Linked DNA regions of Sus scrofa. The protein of the gene in region 2 interacts with the protein of the main gene of each other region in a pairwise test. Links are inferred from orthologs where the notes say so. Each region holds a gene or a part of one and is shown on either strand. Other genes may lie near its edges.

Region 1 (6,081 bases), on a different chromosome or scaffold from region 2:
ATCAGATTGAATTTTTTCTCTAAATCTAGGCTTTGAGTCCTGAATTGGGACTGTTCAGGCAAAAGCCAGTTTTGACCCTTTTAGACTAAATACCATTCCCAGAGACTAGGAGGAGAGCAGTATCTTACATAGCGTTCAAGAAACCTGTGTCACAGTCGTACCAGACACAAACCACAGGAACGAAAACTGCTCATGTTTAACGCCTGCTTCAGGAAGGGCTGTGAGTTGGGTACTTCACTTGCAGTACCCAAGGCATATGGAGGTTCCCAGGCTAGGGGTCCAATCACAGCTGCAGCTGCTGGCCTACACCACAGCCACAGCAACGCCAGATCTGAGCCATGTCCACAGCTTACACCACAGCTCATGGCAACACCAGATCCTTAACCCACTGATCAAGGCCGGGGGTGGAACCCACATCCTCATGAATACTAGTTGGATTTGTTACCACTGAGCCATCATGGGAACTCCCTACCTGCAGTACTTCTGATCCTTATCTCCATCTCTAAGAGTTATAGCTGAGGTCACTGAGGCTCGGGAAATAAGCAGGTCACACAGCTGGTCTGGATAGAGTTTGGGTTTGAACCTGGTTGGAGGCAGCTCCAGTGCCCGTGGTTTTGTGCTATAACTGCTGCCCTGAGAAGAACGTTAGTCCCATCATAGGTCTGTGCCAGGCCTCCCTCTGATAGAAGGATTAGGGATGGTGGCGCAGGGTGAGGGAGTGATGGGGGCTTCAGCTCACTCTACTCTGCTTTCTGAACTTTGGCCCATTGGACCACGTGAACATGTTACCTAATCAAAATAATTCACATTAAAATTAAGAGGAAAAAGGTAAGCAGAACTAGTACCCATGAAGATGCGGGTTCGATCCCTGGCCTTGTTCAATGGGTCAGGGATCCAGTGTTGCCATGAGCTACAGTGTAGGTTGCAGACTCGGCTCGGATCCCATATGGCTGTGGCCATGTTATAGGCCGGCAGCTACGGCTCTGATTAGACCCCTAGCCTGGGAACTTCCATATGCCGCAGGTGTGGCCCTAAAAAGCCAAGAAAAAAACAAAGAAAGTAATTGTAGTCTGTTCTTCAGAGTACATCTTTTTATCATTCCTCAGATTCTAACTATATACAACTTCTTCACATATTTGGAAACAGGTGTCTGACTGATGGGTGACTCATTTTTCCAGATGGTGGCCTCTGTAGCCCACCCTGCCCCCTCCCCTGGGCCTCAGCTGACATTTGTCAGAGCATCACAGCTGTTCCTCGGCCTTGGAAACTCAGGGGCTGCCCAAAGTGGAAGTTCAGTCTTCTCTACAAGACTGTTCCTTGTCTGGGGGCAGCAGGATGGGGGTGGGGTGTGGATTTGAACATCACACACACAGAATTTCCACCTTAGGAACAACTGTGTAAAAAAAAAAAAAAAAACAGCACCCAAACTCTAGTTCACATTTATGGTGTTAACGTCCCAGGCTAAAACACACTGAGTGAGTCTCACTGCATGACTGAACCATAAACCAACTGAAGAACTGATCTAGTTACTGAGTGCTGAAAACTTGTCAAACTTAGCTTTTTTTTTCTGTTACTGTTTTGACATATCAGAATGTTCTTTGAACTGAACCGGTCTCAGTGTCTTCAAGTCCCACCTTAGAAACAAGATTCTCTTCTAAGCAGTTAGGTTTTTTGTGTCATGCGATAAATTCCCTAGTTCCAAAGACTAAATGGAGCATCTTTTTTTTAAAGCTTATCAGAATTATTTTTTGACTTTTCTGGATGTGGCCTGCCATAGCATAGGTAGGTCTGTGGCCATTGGAACGTGCACCCCCAGCTTTGGGTGACACCTGGCCACCCCGTTCCTCTGCCTGGACATTTGTTCCTTTTCCTCTCCTTCCAGCACTGCCCTCTTCCCAACACGCAGGGCTTGGCTGCTCCCATCTCCAGTGCTGCTGTCTCGGGGTGGCAGGGGGAGCCTCAGACGGGAGTTACATGCATAATTGTAAATTTCCTGGGATGCACATTAAAAGGGTTTTTTTAAAAAAAAAAAATACAAAGTCAGCTGAAATTGATTTCTGTTATCAACATAGTTTATTTAATACAACACAGTCAAAATTACTGAGATAGTTCCCATTCTTGTCTTTGTAATTCAGTATGTATTTACGCTGCAGCATGTCTCAGTTCAGGCTGGCAACCACCGCACCAGACAGCACAGGTCTGGATCTTCTGGTTAAACCCTTTGTTATGGGCCCCGTGCTTGTTTATCTTCAGCTCATACTTAGTGTGGACATTGATTCCCGGGCCAGATAACAGGTGGACACATACATATTAATGCCTTGTTTTCCCCTGCAACTTTAGGAGCCTTTAACGATTGTGAAACTCTGGAACGCTTTCACCAGAGTCCAGCCTACGTTCAGGACCACGTACATGGCTTACCATCACTTCCGAAGCAAGGGCTGGGTGCCCAAAGTGGGACTTAAGTATGGAACAGATTTACGTAAGTGATTCTTGGCTTGGCAGGTGCAAGAACCAGGGTTGGCATCAGATGAGTTATATGCACTATTGCTGGGTTTTTTTTCTAAAATGATGTCCTGGCTTAGATAAGAATGTTTGGATTGCAGTGGAGGGTGTGTCCAGAATGATCAAGAAAACAGTCAAGGGGAAAAGCCTGGGATAGAAGCCCGCAGCAAGTCAGGCTTTTCTTCTTATCTGCTCTGGGATCCTAGAAGAGCCCACGGCCTCTCATTAGCATGTGGTCTAGCTGTGTCAGGCAGCCCTGATCCTCTGGAGATGATGGCAGATGTGACAGTACCATTACTAGTGGTGGTGTAACCATGGTAGTAATCACGGCTGTCACTTACTGGGCCCTTGCTGTGTGCCAAGCATTGTATGAAGTGATGAACATGCATGAACTCCTTTAATCCTCACGGCATCTTTATGAGGTCAGTGCTCATGACCCTCCATTTTCTGATAGGGAGACTGTAGTTTTGAGAGAAAGGGTCATTTGCCCCTAAAAGGTTCCAGGGCCAGTAACTACAGAGCTGGGCTCTGACTTTTGGAGCCCAGGGTCTTGGAAACTCCTACACAGTCCTACCTCCCTGATCTTTGTGAAGGTGAGGAGTCTGGATACAGGTGAGCGCTTCCTTCGCCGGGTGATTGCTGAGGGTCTCATGTGAGCCAGACCTTCTTAGGTGCTGAAAACACAGAGGTAAACAGATAGAGCTGCTTGGGTGGAGCTACTGGCAGGGGAGACCAAGAAGCCAGCACCTGAAATTACATGTACTGTGATTTCAGGGAACTAATTAAAATAAAGCAGAGTAAAGGGGCAGTCAGGGCGGTTAGAGAAGGACTCTCTGCAAGATGTGCCCCAAACATCAGCCTCAGAAATGTGACCACAGTGAGAGAATGGAACACATACAGTCTGGGGAAGAACACAGGAAGCATCAAGGAGCAGAAAGTGCAAAGGTCCTGGGGCAGGAATAAGCCTGGCCAGTCTCAGAAGCAGTACAAAGACAGTGCGTCTAGAACTTAAGAGACCCCAGGGAGTAGTGACAGAAGGTGGTGTCAGGGTTCAGCTGGGGAAGGTCATGTAGGACCTGACAAAGACCTGGGATGTCATTCTGGTAGTTGGAAGTCTTGGGAGATTTAAGTAAAGGAGTGGTTTTAAATGTAATGACAATTTAATAGGACCTTTGCTTTCTTGCTAATAGGGGCAGCAGGGAGGGAAGCAGAGGGAATAGTTCGGAAACTGACCTTGACCTGCCTACAGAAGGGATGAATATCAGGTTTGCTGTAAGAGGAATTCAGAATAATGCCTGGATATTTGGAGTTGTGTTTTGGACGTAGTAAGTCAGCCTGGTGGAGCTAGTGCAGAGATGGACGATTCTGGAGCCCAGAAGAGCCTTGAGGTGTAAACATGGAGGGTTGTGTAAGGGGCACCTGAAGCCTCCGGACTGGGTGAGTGAGCATAGACCCTTGGGGCTCCTTTCAGCCCCAATGCTGCTCCTTTGTTAAATCCCTGAACCTTTCCCACATCCACCATTCGAGGGTGCTTCCTGGGTGATCTTCAGAATTGTGTGTGAGGTTCAAACAACAATTTCAAGGTATATGAGAGGCCTTCCAGGAAGTCATGCCCCCCAGGTCTTCAGAGCTGTCCCATAATTGTTCCATATGCTTTTGAGCCTTGCCTTTTTAAATATTCAAAGAAAGCCAGTTCAAGCTTTTAGATCCTTAAATGCTCTAAAATTGAGTGTGCTTAACCTAGAATCATAGAATGGTCCCAGTAGCCCCTGAAATCTTATTCAGTATATTGTAGATTGGTGTATTTTTCTGTGTCAAGAGTCTGTAACTTTCACTAAATTCTCAGAGGGGGTCAGCAGTCATAAATAAAGGTTACAGAGTGCCCATTCCTCTAAGATAAAGGGTTCCTATTCTTGCTTCCAAGCCTGGATTTCAGGTAGAGATACCTTCATTCGGGGTCAGCACACACATGGTCAGGATCAGCTCAAGGTCAGTCTGCTAGGTTTCCAGACAATTGCAGTTGCCCACAGGTCACGTCCTTTAAATAAGTGATGTGCCTCTTTCCTTCCTTGGCTTCCCGCCCTGCTCTCCTTTTCATGTTCCTGTAGAATAGCCTCTCAGTGTAAATGCCTGTCAGGCCTTGGCCAGTGTGCTCATTATGTGGGTGAAATTTGAGCAGGATTTTCCAGTCCACAAGGCTGCAGTGATGCACTAAGAGGTGGGGGAGGGGACAGAAAGAACTCTTTGGGCTCACAGCCGGCTCTACCTTTTCCTGACTGTGTGACTTCAGAGAGGTTACTTCATCTCTCTGAGCTTCCATTCACTCATCATGTAACATGGATAACATTTTTATAAAAAAATGTTACAAGGGAGGAGACCTTTGGTGAGTTCCTGTAAGCATGTATTTTTAGTACACAAGCCACTTTTGTGGATGGTGGGTAGAGAGAACTATCCTAATTTAAAAATATACTGCCTTGGACTTCCCTGGTAGCTCCATGTGTTAAGGATCCAGCATTGTCACTGCTATGGTGCGGGTTCAATCCCTGGCCCAGAAACTTCTGCAGGCACAGCCAATAAATAAATATAAAAACAGGAGTTCCCGTCATGGCGCAGCAGAAACAAATCCAACTAGGAACCCTGAGGTTGCAGGTTCCATCCCTGGCCTCACTCAGTGGGTTAAGGATCCAATGTTGCCATGAGCTGTGGTGTAGGTCACAGATGCAGCTCAGATCTGGTGTGGGTGTGGCTGTGGCTGTGGAATAGGCCAGCAGCTATAGCTCAGATTAGACCCCTAGCCTGGGAACCTCCATATGCCATAGATGCAGCCCTAAAAAAAAAAAGACTAAATAAATAAATAAACTACCTTATAAGGATGGATGAAAGGACAAACAGATGGATAGACTTTGTTCGTTTTGTTTTTTTAGGGCTGCACCCTAGGCATATGGAAGTTCCCAGGCTAGGGATTAAGTCAGAGCTGTAGCCACTGGCCTACACCACAGCCACACCAGATCCAAGCCACGGCTGTGACCTACACCACAGCTCATGGCAATGCCGGATCCTTAACCCACTAAGCGAGGCCAGGGATTGAACCTGTGTCCTCATGGATGCTAGTCAGATTCGCACTGAACCACAATGGGAACTCCTGGATAGACCTTTTTTTAAAAGGAAATAAATACATCAGTGGCTGTCTCCCACCTCCCTAAGGCCTTTGTCCCCCCAGGAGGGGCGCGCCATGCACTTGGAGCCCCTGTGTAATTAACATGAGCTCAGGTTTCTGGCCCAACAGCACCCTGGGGACTGTCTTCACATCCCAGCTTTAGCGGAGTTCAGGAGCAGTGCTAGCCTGGGACAAGACCAGTGGCTTCCTAAACTTGACCTCTCTTCTAGGCACAGCTAAAATTATTATTTTAGTTTTGAAGGCCAGTGAAGGAAGTTTCTGCTCACAGAGGTAATGACTCCTGACAAAAGGGCCATGATGAATTCCACATCTTATCAGGGAACCTCTTCCCTTGACTAAGTCTTGTCAATCAAATTTCATACCAGGAGCAGTACTTGGAACAGGTGCAGCCACTGGGTCAG
Region 2 (5,189 bases):
GTCGAGCGGAACGACGGGATCCTGGGCGAGGCGAGCGGACTTGGGCGCAGCCCTCCCCACCCGGCACAGGGAAGCCAAGGGTCCTGGCCCTCCCCTGCCTCCTCGCCCAGAGTGGCGGGAGCCCCGAGGGGGCGGGCCCTGCTCATTAGGTCCCGGCTCGCACCTCACCTGGAACCCCAGGCCGGCTCCCGCCGGAGGCCTCCGCGTTCCTCAGCGCCCGCCGCCGGCTCTGTTCACCCTGCCGCCGGCCCACGGGCTGCTGGGCGGCCGTCTCCTTCCTGCTCACCTCCGGCGCGGCGAGCTGGGGGCGGAGCCGCCTCTATTTACATAAAGGGCGAGCCGGCCCGGCGGGCGGAACCCAGAGAGAGCGTCGGGCCCCAGCAGCCCGCCCCCCGAGCCTGGCCCCGCCTCCTGAAGCCCTGCGCCGTCGAGGCGGGGGCGCAAGGAGTGCGCCCTCGAGGGGCGGGGACCGCGCCCTGGCCAATCCGCGGCTCCCGGGAGCGCGGGGGCGGGGCTGCGACCCGTGTGAATATGCACGAGGCACTGCCGGCCCGCCCCTGACCTCACCTGCGCGCACCTGGCCGCAGGACGGCACGCCGCGCCCAGTGTCCCGCCGCCTCCCGGGGAGGAAAATAGTTCCCGGAACGCGAAGTGGCTCCGGGCCACCTTCCAGGCCCAACTCCATAAAGGGGGAGGTCCCTCCCACAACCCGGTCCGGAGCGGCCCCGAGGGAGGGGCATAGCCTGGCTGGCTCTTCCTGAAAGCGCCCAGCCCAATCAGAGGGTGACGTCTGACACAGGGCCAAGTTTCGGGACCCAAGAGCCAGGTGGCTTGGGGAGAGAGGCGTCGCCAAGAGGCGCCTCCTCTCTGGGTGGGCCCCAAGCCTGTACCCTCCTACAAGTCGTTGTCACCAGAGGCCCCGAGGGCCAGCAACTGTGACCGGAGTTTTTAGCATGACGAAGGCCGGGAGCAGAGGTCTGGGCGTGCATGGCGCGCTGCACCACACAGCTCCCAACGACTAGGGTTCGGGCCATTCCTCCACCCGGACCTCCGCTGCGTTTAGGGGAGGACCAATGGGTGCCAGCTTCCCTCCTTGGGCTACCCTTCTGAAAGCCAAGCTAACTACAGGTCTGGGACTTCCCTCAGATAGGCGAGGGGTCGCATTCCTGCCCTCTTAGCTCTTGCCCGCGAGAAAGCAGCGCTCTCTGTGGGTGGGCAAAGCAGGGGTGAGGGCCTGGGGGCCCCATCCTCGGACAGTGGGATGGTGGGGATAGGGAGGCCTCATCCAGTATACTCAGTCACAGCAGAAAAGGGGATTTTTTTTTTTTTTTTAATGGCTTTGGCTGTATCGCTTGAAGCAGGCACCCTCTCAATTAAAGGCACAGAGTCCTCTCTTCTGCCCCACCTGGCTGGGTCTCTGAAATCTAGTCCTGAGTTTGCAGGGGATCACTGCAAAGCAGCACTCTCAGACGTGGGGCTTGGAAGCGCTGCAGCAGCCAGGCAGGGGGCAAGGCTTTGCTCTCCTGCAAGCGCCAGACACCCGGGGCCAAGGCCCAGACTAGCCCCTGAAGCTACAGATCAGAGTCTGGGTGTAGGAGGCAACTGAGATGGTCCCTGAGAGTAGACAGTCCAGGTCCCCCAGAGCAGACCCCAGGCCCTGCCAGAGCTGCGTGGTCAGTGTTCCACATCCTTGGGCAGCGTGAAGTCCCTGACGCTGTAGAAGGAGATGTCTCCGTGATCCACCAGGGCAAAGATCAGAGGAACATCCCCGCTCTGGTAGGACAACCGCTTGAGGGTGCAGAGGTCTGGGACTGGCTCATCAAATCTGCAAGAATCAAGGTGAGACTGAGACCTGAACAGGGGCTGCCCATAAGATTTGAGAATCCAGCCCTCAGAGTTCCCATCGTGGCGCAGTGGTTAATGAATCTGACTAGGAATCATGAGGTTGCGGTTCGATCCCTGGCTTTGCTCAGTGGGTTAAGGATCCGGCGTTGCTGTGGCTCTGGTGTAGGCTGGCAGCTACAGCTCCGATTAGACCCCTAGCCTGGGAACCTCCATATGCCGTGGGTGCGGCCCTAGAAAAGGCAAAAAGACCCCCCCAAAAAAAAAAAAAAAAAGAACCCAGCCCTCTGAAGCTCCCAGGGAAGGGAAGCTCTCACACAGCAGTCGGGGTGCAAGAGGTCTGGCCCCTGGGCTCTCCTGTCCGCAGACTGCATGACTCTGCTAAGATTCAGAGCCCTGGTTGGGTAAGGGGACTCTTAGCCTGAAAATCCCTCTGATTCACATCCCTTCTGCTGAGTTGAGCCTGGGACTAAAGTGGCACAGGAGAGACGACTCAAAAATGCCAGGAATGAGAGCTGAGGACTGGCAAGCTTGGGTGCCCATAGCGCTCATCGGCTCTGAGGCCTCGCTCCGGACCCCTGGTTCTTCTCGGGGACTAACAACTAGCCAGGAGCACCGAGAGGAGGTCCACCTGGTTTACAAGAGAACTGGCGGCAGCCTGGGAGCAGTGCTCACTGGTCTCTCGTACCCACTAATGCACATCCGAACGTAGGGCTTGCCGGGGTTATTCTTTCGGAACGTGGCCACAGCGTCAGCCTGGTAGACATCAAAGCTGATCTCCAAGCCTCCAGACTTCTCGAGCAGCCTGAGGACCGTGAGAAACCTTAGGAAACAGGGGCTCTCTCCCCCACTTTTTCTTTCCACACCACCCTTTCCTTCCCTCAGGTCCAGGGAACAGCCCCCCCAACCCATCCCACCCAGGGGCACCGAGGAGCCTCAGCTACCTTATCTTGGAACCCTGGGGATGACTGTCTGTCACTCCTCCCTCTCCCCTGGACACACGTGAACGTTAGCCAGAGTAGAGGGTCCCTGGAATGCTCCCCCAGCTCCTGCCCAACTTCAGGAGTCCCATCCCAGCTGCCGACTCTTGGCAGCCAAAGTACTGTGGAGTCAGGCACTACCTGGAAACTCACCGGGCACCTCCATCGGCAAGGTGTGTTGTCTGCAGCACAGAGATAAGCTGAAGGGCTGTGGCTACAAAGATGGTGAAAGTTAAGGCGTGGGTGAGGGGAGTCATCCACCCAGACTTCCCTGACATTTCTGAACCTGCCATCTAGTTTAGGGTGGCCAGATTTAGCAGATTATTTATTTATGGCCATGCCCGCAGCACGTGGAAGTTCCCCGCCAGGTATCGAACCCTGTGCCACAGCAGTGATAATGCTGGATCCTACGCCACAGCTCAAGGCAATGCTGGATCCTTAACCCACTGAGTGAGGCCAGGGATCAAACCCGCCTCCTCATGGATCCTAGTCGGGTTTGTTGCCACTGAGCCATGATGGGAACTCAATGCTGGATCCTTAATCTGCTAAGCCACCATGGAATTCTGCAGGGTTTTTTTTTTAGTAGTTGCTGTTTTAGTATTAAGTATGTCCCATCCAACATTTGGAACATATTTATACTAAAAAATAGTTATCTGAAATTCAAATGTAACTGCCCTGGCAACCCTACTCTAGTTACTTACAACTCACCATGTTCCCCCAAGGATTAAAAGTAGTTTTGAATCTGATAATACCATTCCTGCCTTACTAGTTCTCTACTCTTAAGTGCAGGGCGTACAGGAAAGCTTCCTTTTATTTGGCCAACGTTATCAGCTCCCTGTTCCCTTCTAACGGAGGAGGGAGAACAGGGGCCGCAGCCGGCTGGTGGCAGGGCTGTCCACATGCATCTTGTTTATATGATCTTAAGGACGAGGTTGCAGTTTTCGTTTCTCCTCACCTCTCCCTGGCCACTGATTTACCCTTTCTAAACCCTCCCGCCTGGGGCTCTTTGCTGCTCCCCAGGACGGACCATCCTGTGGGTTCCACTCCCCCAACAGCTCTCTCCTCCCCCATCCGCCGAGGTCAATCCGAGCCCCTCTCAAGGGCTCGCGATTCCTCAGTGGCCAGCGGCCTACGGCAGGGCAAGGGGGTACCTGGGGAGTCTGCTTGACCAGGACTCAGCAAGGGGGTGACAGCCTGGTCCCAGAGGTGTGGGGGGCGGCTCTGGGTCTTCTGCAGGTGCCGCCTCTGCAGCAGCTGCTTGTACTCCTGCCAGCTGGAGCAGCGCTGCACCTCGGGATCTGAGTTCACGTCCTCCCGGAAGTGCTGGGCCTCTGCCTGCTGCTCCCGTTCCCGCCTGGAGAGCTTCTCCTTCCGCTGGTTGAGCTTCTGGCACCAGGGCTCGGCGTCCGTCTCCCGCCCGGCGACATTGGCCGGGAGCAGCTCTGGCGCGGGGGCAAGCAGGAGGGTATGGCGGCCGTCTGAAGCCATGTTGGGGAAGGAGATTTGCTCAAAGTTCCAGCGTGGCTTACACGGCCCCTGGACCCCATTCTCTACTTTGCCACTCTCCTGGCTGCACCGCACCCCCTCCCTGGGCAGACCAGGGCAGGGCTCCAGGGACCCCAGAAGCTGGGAGGGGCCCTCTGGGCCCTTTACAGGGCTTGACTCCTGGGGTTTCTCCTCTGGGCATCGGCTGTTCTGGTTTCGGGGAGGTGGGCTGGAGGTTGCCAGGCTCTCGGGTGTCCCATCCACCCCCTGCAGGGGGTTCTCCAGGGCCTTGGGCTTCTTATTAATGGACCTGAGGGACGTGGGGAGGAAATGCAGCACATCTGCTCCTGATGGCTGAGGTGCACGTGACCCACACGTGCCCTGCTGCCTCCCTGAGCCTGGGCCGGAGCCGCCCGAGCCCCACTCTTAAGCCCAGGCATTCTCCAAGGTCCCCAACACCAGCACTCCGCCACCGGCTCGCCCTGGGCGGTGGCCACATGGGGAGCATTACCGAGAGCTGGCGCTCCTCCTCTTCCTCTTGCCGTGCCGATCCTCCAAGTGCTGGCCGTCCAAGTTCAGCTGCCTCTCGTAAGGGGACAGGACGGAGCTGTGGGGTGAGAATGGGGTGGGCCACAGACCCACTGCTCAGCCTGGGGCTCCCAGCGCAAAGCGTGAGGGACTGGCCCAGAGAAAGTGGGTCAGGGTCAGAGCCACACCCAAGGGCTAAGGCCCTGGGCAGACCTGCGCACGGGGAACACGGGGGCAGCCACCAGGGCCTCTGCGTCTCACCAACGGCACCTCTGACCAGAGGTTCCCTGGAACCAGGGCTCCTGCAGAGCCAGCAATAAAGGACTAATCACTGGTAAGAAGCATCACTGCTAA
Region 3 (6,181 bases), on a different chromosome or scaffold from region 2:
AACACTCTTCTGCTATTTTTTATTTTTGGGTTTTTTTTTTTTTTGTCTTTTGAGGGCTGCACCGGTGGCACATGGAGGTTCCCAGGCTAGGGGTCTAATCGGAGCTGCAGCTGCCAGCCTACACCACAGCCACAGCCAGGCCAGATCCGAGCGAGTCTGCGTCTCACGTGTCTCAGGGCGACGCCAGATCCTTAGCGCACTTAGCGAAGCCAGAGGTCGAACCTGCAACCTCATGGTTCCTAGTCGGATTCATTTCCGCTGTGCCACAACAGGAACTCCAGCACTCATCTTTTAATATTTATTCTCTAATGTAAGCTCCGTAAGACGTTGTCTATCTTGTTCCCCCCATCTAGAATGGCCCATGTTACATGGTAGGTGTATGATGAAAATTTGTGGAAAGAATGAATGAAGAGCATCAGATACTTAATAATACAAGTCCAAACTAGGAACACTAATCATTTGCAAGAGATCAAAAAGAACAGGCTTTCCTAGCTTATCCCCTGAAAACTCAATTTACATTTTTTTGTGTTTCTTTTTTTGGCCTTGGCAGAGGCATGTGGAAGTTTCCCAGGCCAGGGATTGAACCCAAACCACAGCAGTGACCCAAGCCACTCGCTAAGCTCACAGGTGAACTCTTTGCTTTCCTTTTCTCTAGACATTCAACAATAAGTTACCCCAATAATGTTTCCACAATGAGGAAAAGAACAAAATTAAAAAAAACAACTTATACCAACTTCTGTGATATGGCAAAAATATTTATTAAAATAGTTTTTTTTCCCAAATATGAACTTTATTGGAAGGAGTCCTTCAAATTCACTCTTTCACCCTGCATAAACGAGATAACAAGTACTATATACAGAATATAAAGCAGTAATATTAAAAAAAAAAAATCCCTCCTCAGAATTAGTCCACATAGTAGCACAGTGAATGAAATGGGATTTTTCTGGAACTCAAAGAATTCAAAGTGACACCTTAGGTAATCTAAGAAACCAATTATATTCTTACAGTTTTCCTTTTGGTTCAAGATCAAAAGGGTTAGGTTATTATCACCTGTTTTAAGAGGTAGAATATATGCTTTCTGCTAGTCCATGACTTACTGGTCAGCCTGGTCTCAAGAGATTCCCACACTTCACCCATCTGCCTTTGTGATGGCCAGGAGATCTCTACGCCCCCAAGCAGCAAAGCTTCCTGCTGATCTCTACTTAAGATCCATGAACCGGATATCCATGATGAGAAGGAAGTTCTTAGGCAGGGGGCGGGGGGCTGGGGAGAGCACAGTAAACACTTGATGCTCCAGGTCCACACTGGTCACCACAATGAAGCCAGCCACACTGGTCTCAGAAAGGTTCTCCTCTGTGCCCTCGGCAGTGCTAACACTCAGGAGGTGGTGCACCATATCTCGGCCAGGAGTGACAGGGACCAGCTTGAGCTGATTGTCCTCCTGAGACATGCCCAAGGGCAAACAGGAGTCTGGGATGGTGGGTGCCCCGACTTTGTAGATTTTCACATCTGAAAATTTGACGTTAAAGGCGTGGGGATAGAAACAGCCCCGGAATCCGTAGAAATACTCACGGATTCGTTCATCCCTACATTCCCGCCGGAAGTCCTTGGAGCGCTCAACCACACCCCCTGATTTAGGGAGCAGCACAGTGCGTACGAAGTGAGGCAGGTCTCGTTTCAGCTCATTGTACAGTCGTTCTTGATCCAGGACCACAACGACATCCACCTCAAAAGCTGAGGCCGCATGCACCAGGGCCTGGTAACCAGAGCCCTTGACCCAGCCACAGGTGTTAATGACACAGCCACTCACAGAGGCCCTTCTGTTCACTTCACATCTTTGGTTGAACACATCTGCTAAGCGAGATGTAATCTGCAAAAGAAAGAAGCAAAGTGAGGAAAAAAAAACACCAAAAGAAACAAACCCAAGGCTATTTTATCTTTCTTTAGAACAAGTGGTATCAGGTATAAGAAAAATGACATTTTTCATGGCTGTGGTTTTGACCCCGTAACATGGATTTAATTTTTATTTTGCGTTGCTTCTTCTGTCTCCTCTGTTTCATGTCCGAAATGGAAATTTAATAAATTACTTAAGAATGGGTCCGCAGAAACGTTTAACAGTTTGAGATGGACTTATTTTCAAATTGTCTTTCCTAAAATCATGGAGCAATATACCAGCCGAGAGGGAGCAAAGAGTTTTAATTAGCAAACTTCTGCACAGTTTTCAACCCTGACAGCAGCCCTTCCCTCCACCCCACCTTGGCCCTGGCTCTGACCTTATTATAAAGCTTGATGTTGGTTCCAGGAGTGGTGGAACCAAAATGATACACCAAAGGAGCCTGGATGGAGAATCCCTCTTCAACATCTGCTGGCCGTTCAATGTAGAGGGCCCCCATGGTACCAGGGATGGACACAGAGCCCTGGCCTACATCCAGCTCCACGTAAGTGGGACGGCGGCCCAAGCGCACTGCATAGTTGAGCAGTAGACGGCACACTGTGGACTTGCCCACATCAGTGGGGCCCACTACCATCACCCGGGGACCTCGCTCTTCTTCCTTCTCTGCCTGCCTCCGCATCTGCTCCAAGGCAGTGTGAGTGTTGAGATAAAGCAACATAGGGGTGTCTTTGGAGACATAAGCCACCTCGGTGCGACCACTGAGCTGTAGCGAACAGCCATGCCAAGTGAAAACAGCCACCTTGGCACCAGCATCAAAGGTGAATTTCTTGTTTCGGGTCAGCTCTGTGCCAAAGATTTCTGCCATGCCAGCCAGCAGCTCCAGCTGAACTGACTGAGATGCCTCCACCTCAAAGCGAAGTTCTGTTTCTCGCTCGAGTTCAAATTTAGTTGTTGGCTTCTTGTCATCATTGGCCTCCTCTCCCATCTTTTCTGCGTAGTTGTTGTGCCTAGAACACAAATGTCAGATCTAAACATAAGTTAGGACTCAGTTCAAAATCCTTCACTGGCAGTTTCTCTTTACCCTGCTTTATTTTTCTCCTTATCTCTGATCACCATCCGCTTCACTATATATTTGTTTATTGTCTGTCTACCCTCACAAGAATGTAAGGGTTGGAACTCTAGTACCTAGGATGGGGCTAGACAACCCAAAGGCACCTCTATAAATACACCGAGGGAATAAATGACTCAGAAATAAAAAGAAAGCAGTCTCTACAGATTGACAGACTTGATTTCATCGCCTTCATCGCCCCCTTCACCACTCAACTGGGATATTCCAGAGTTGAAAAGGCAACAGATGGCCACTCCCTAAGCCTCTTAGTCAACAAGAAAGGCGTTAGTAATTCGATGTAAAGCAGAGAATATCGGTTTCCGGTTTCCGACTTAGAAAACAGAATTAAGGCCCTGCTCAGCAACTACTAGGTAGTGTCTTTAGAGAAATCAATCACCTCTTCCTCAGTTGTCAACTGGAGGCACTTCCCCTTCCACACACAAAGTTCTGGGGATTAACAGGGATTGCTGGAGGAGAAAAAAAGTTCGTGAACTAGAAAACGCCGAGGAAAAGCGAAGAATTATCTCTGATCCCAGACCGCAGCTCTAAATCCAGCGTTTGTCCTAGCCTCCCTAGACAGTGAAACCTGTCCACGCTCCAAGGAGGCGACGGTGCGTTCCTAAGCTTATTACCTTACCTGTACAGGCACGAACCCAACCTTGTAAATCAAAAAGCCCTCCTAGGCAGAAACTCAGACCAACTGCTAACCGCGCTCGCCTAGATCCACGCCGGAAACTTGGGCGTTTCCTTACTTGCGCAGTAGAGGAGATGTGGACGCGCGGTGCTCCCTGGGACATGTAGTCGTGCCAGAACCGCTGCGAGCGACCACCTGGCGCAGTCGCTGGGCCTTCTGGGACTTGTAGTTAAAGGATTGTTTTGATCGTGATGTCAGCGGTGGGCGGGGCGGCGGCCGCCGAAGTTCGCGTTTCCACGGGAGGGAAGGGGGTGGAGTGGCGGTTACGCCCCCGCGCGGGGCGGGGACTGGCGGAAGGGTCAATGGACACCAAAGCGCAGAGGATGCGGATGCTCACCGCTGTTCTCCGCTCAACTGCCCTCCGGGAAGGGGAAAGACGGAGGGAAGGGGACATTATTTAGGTCCCATGGTCGCCTGGAAGCGGGGAAATTAGGGAAACTCCATTTGGATACGAGAAAACCTAGGGGTAGAGAAAGTGGAGGAAAACAGCATAAACAGAGACCAACCCGGACCTGAACCGTCACCAATTAACTGATACAGTGCTTGGCCCCTAGGGGTCATTAAAAAAATGTTTTTTGAATAAAAGTGCAAGAATTCTTCCACTTACTCTGTAAGTCAGTCATTTCCCAACAACCTCTCATTTATTTTTGGCCCCACCCGTGGTGTGTGGAAATTTCTGGGCCAGGAATCAAATCCGCGGCACAGCAGTGACCAAAGCCGCTGCAGTGACAATGCCAGATCCTTAACCTGCTGCATTACAAGAAAATACCCACTCCTCTTATTGATCAAGGTGTTTTGTTGGGAACTCTGTTTCCCTCCCTAAATCCCTGGCAGTTATACAAGGTCAGTCATTTATCCAACAAACAACAGGTTGGGCAATGTCTGTACTCTTCTGATGAGCTTGGACTTGGAATCTTGTATTCTTTGCTATGCCGCTTGCTTACTGTGGGACTTTGGGCAAATCACGGGCTTAAACTTTCTAACACCTAGTTTCTTAATTGTAAAATATGGATAAAAACAATACCCAGCCAAAATTGTTTTATTTATCTTTTTGTCCTTTTAGGGCCGTACCAGTGGCATATGGAGGTTCCCAGGCTAGGGGTCTAATCAGAGCTACAGCTGCTGGCCTATACCACAGCCACAGCAACGCCAGATCCAAGCTGCGTCTGCCACCTACACCACAGCTCACGGCTGCGCTGCATCCTTAACCCACTAGGCAAGACCAGGGATCGAACCTACGACCTCACGATTCTTAGTCGGATTCATTTCCTCTGCATCAGGAGGGGAATTCCTTAGCTCTTAAGTTTTTATTAGAGGTTGAGGAGGGGGAGCTACAAAGATGCCATCCATTTGTAGTTTACATTTCACAAAACCCTTTCAGCTATCCTCTTTCACAGCCACCTGTCAAGTCAGCTCTACTCAATTTCAGGTGAGGGAGGAGACTAAGATAGATGAAGGGACTTGCCCAAGCTAGTTCTCAAACCCAAGACTTTGGAGTTTGAGTCCACTTATAATAATAGTGAACGCACAGTGCTAGATGTCACATAGTGTTCTGTGGGCTTTACAGGGGTAAATTTAATCCTCAAAGAATCCTGTGAGGTACAAACACACTGTGATTGTCAGCTCTGCTTACAGATGCATACTTTTTTTAGTCCAGTTTACCTGGTTAATCTGGGTGGAAAAGCCTGGGGAGATTTTCTGGATTGCCTTGTTTCCCACTGGCCCTACCTTAGCATTCACTTTTTTTTTTTTTTTTTTTTGGCCCCACCTCAGGCATGCAGAAGTTCTGAGGCCAGGAATTCGACCCTCGCCCCAGTAGAGACCCCAACTGTGGCAGTGACAACACCAAATCCTTAACCCACTGCACCACCAGGAAACTCCAGCATTCACTTTCAAGAGTGACACCTTCACTTCTCACAGTTCTTTCTTTGAGGGTTTGCTTTAATTGTTTAATTCATTCTCCATGCATGTTATTAGTTCTCCAATTAACTATTAGGTATTTCCTCATCTTTCATTGATTCTTCAGCAGTTCCGTTCTGGTCTTCCATTTGCAAATTTCCCTCCGAGTCAGCTCACCCTCTCCTGTTTCCTGCAGTCTTTCTCCTAAGATCTGTTTCTTTGCCTCCACGCTCTGCCTTGAGACTGTTTCTCCCAGTTTTCTGAAGGTCATCTTTATTTGGATATTGGGTAGCCATCTCAAGCTGAATTTAGGGAGAAGAAACCCCTCCCCTCCTTTAGACCACTCTCTGTTTTGCCTCTTAAACACAGAAATAGTCGGGGCACAACATTTAAACCATCTATGTTTCCCCTGCACTCTCTTTCCTCACTTTCAATCTTTCACTAAGCACCCCAGTCATCTCTGCCCCATCCCCAAATAAATACTGTCCTCACATGTCTTTTTTATTCTCCTTTCCAGCTTAACCCTTATTTTCTTCCTGAGTTAAATCACCTGTTATCTTTTTTGCTTCTAAACTTTCGATCCTTG

What was found.
Region 1: the proteins of TSEN54 (region 2) and TSEN2 interact in a two-hybrid assay, tested with the Homo sapiens proteins (2 studies listed by BioGRID and IntAct). The two-hybrid records come from large-scale screens. The link is inferred for Sus scrofa from reciprocal best matches to the Homo sapiens genes TSEN54 and TSEN2.
Region 3: the proteins of TSEN54 (region 2) and CLP1 interact in binary tests that used the Homo sapiens proteins (3 or more experiments, as listed by UniProt). The link is inferred for Sus scrofa from reciprocal best matches to the Homo sapiens genes TSEN54 and CLP1.

What each region holds. Positions count from the first base shown.
Region 1 is NC_010455.5:68,507,178-68,513,258, forward strand, and holds part of TSEN2 (tRNA-splicing endonuclease subunit Sen2), read left to right. Parts: intron 1-2,340; coding exon 2,341-2,479; intron 2,480-6,081.
Region 2 is NC_010454.4:5,845,854-5,851,042, forward strand, and holds the end of TSEN54 (tRNA-splicing endonuclease subunit Sen54), read right to left. Parts: intron 4,915-5,189; coding exon 4,819-4,914; intron 4,618-4,818; coding exon 3,974-4,617; intron 3,037-3,973; coding exon 2,976-3,036; coding exon of another isoform or gene 2,972-2,975; exon of another isoform or gene 2,964-2,971; intron 2,648-2,963; coding exon 2,531-2,647; coding exon of another isoform or gene 2,479-2,530; exon of another isoform or gene 2,474-2,478; intron 1,826-2,473; coding exon 1,675-1,825; 3' UTR 1,317-1,674; downstream 1-1,316.
Region 3 is NC_010444.4:13,281,423-13,287,603, forward strand, and holds CLP1 (polyribonucleotide 5'-hydroxyl-kinase Clp1), read right to left. Parts: upstream 3,787-6,181; 5' UTR 3,640-3,786; intron 3,470-3,639; exon of another isoform or gene 3,400-3,469; intron 2,922-3,399; exon of another isoform or gene 2,902-2,921; 5' UTR 2,880-2,901; coding exon 2,274-2,879; intron 1,871-2,273; coding exon 1,199-1,870; 3' UTR 735-1,198; downstream 1-734. UniProt on the Homo sapiens protein: Polynucleotide kinase that can phosphorylate the 5'-hydroxyl groups of double-stranded RNA (dsRNA), single-stranded RNA (ssRNA), double-stranded DNA (dsDNA) and double-stranded DNA:RNA hybrids. dsRNA is phosphorylated more efficiently than dsDNA, and the RNA component of a DNA:RNA hybrid is phosphorylated more efficiently than the DNA component.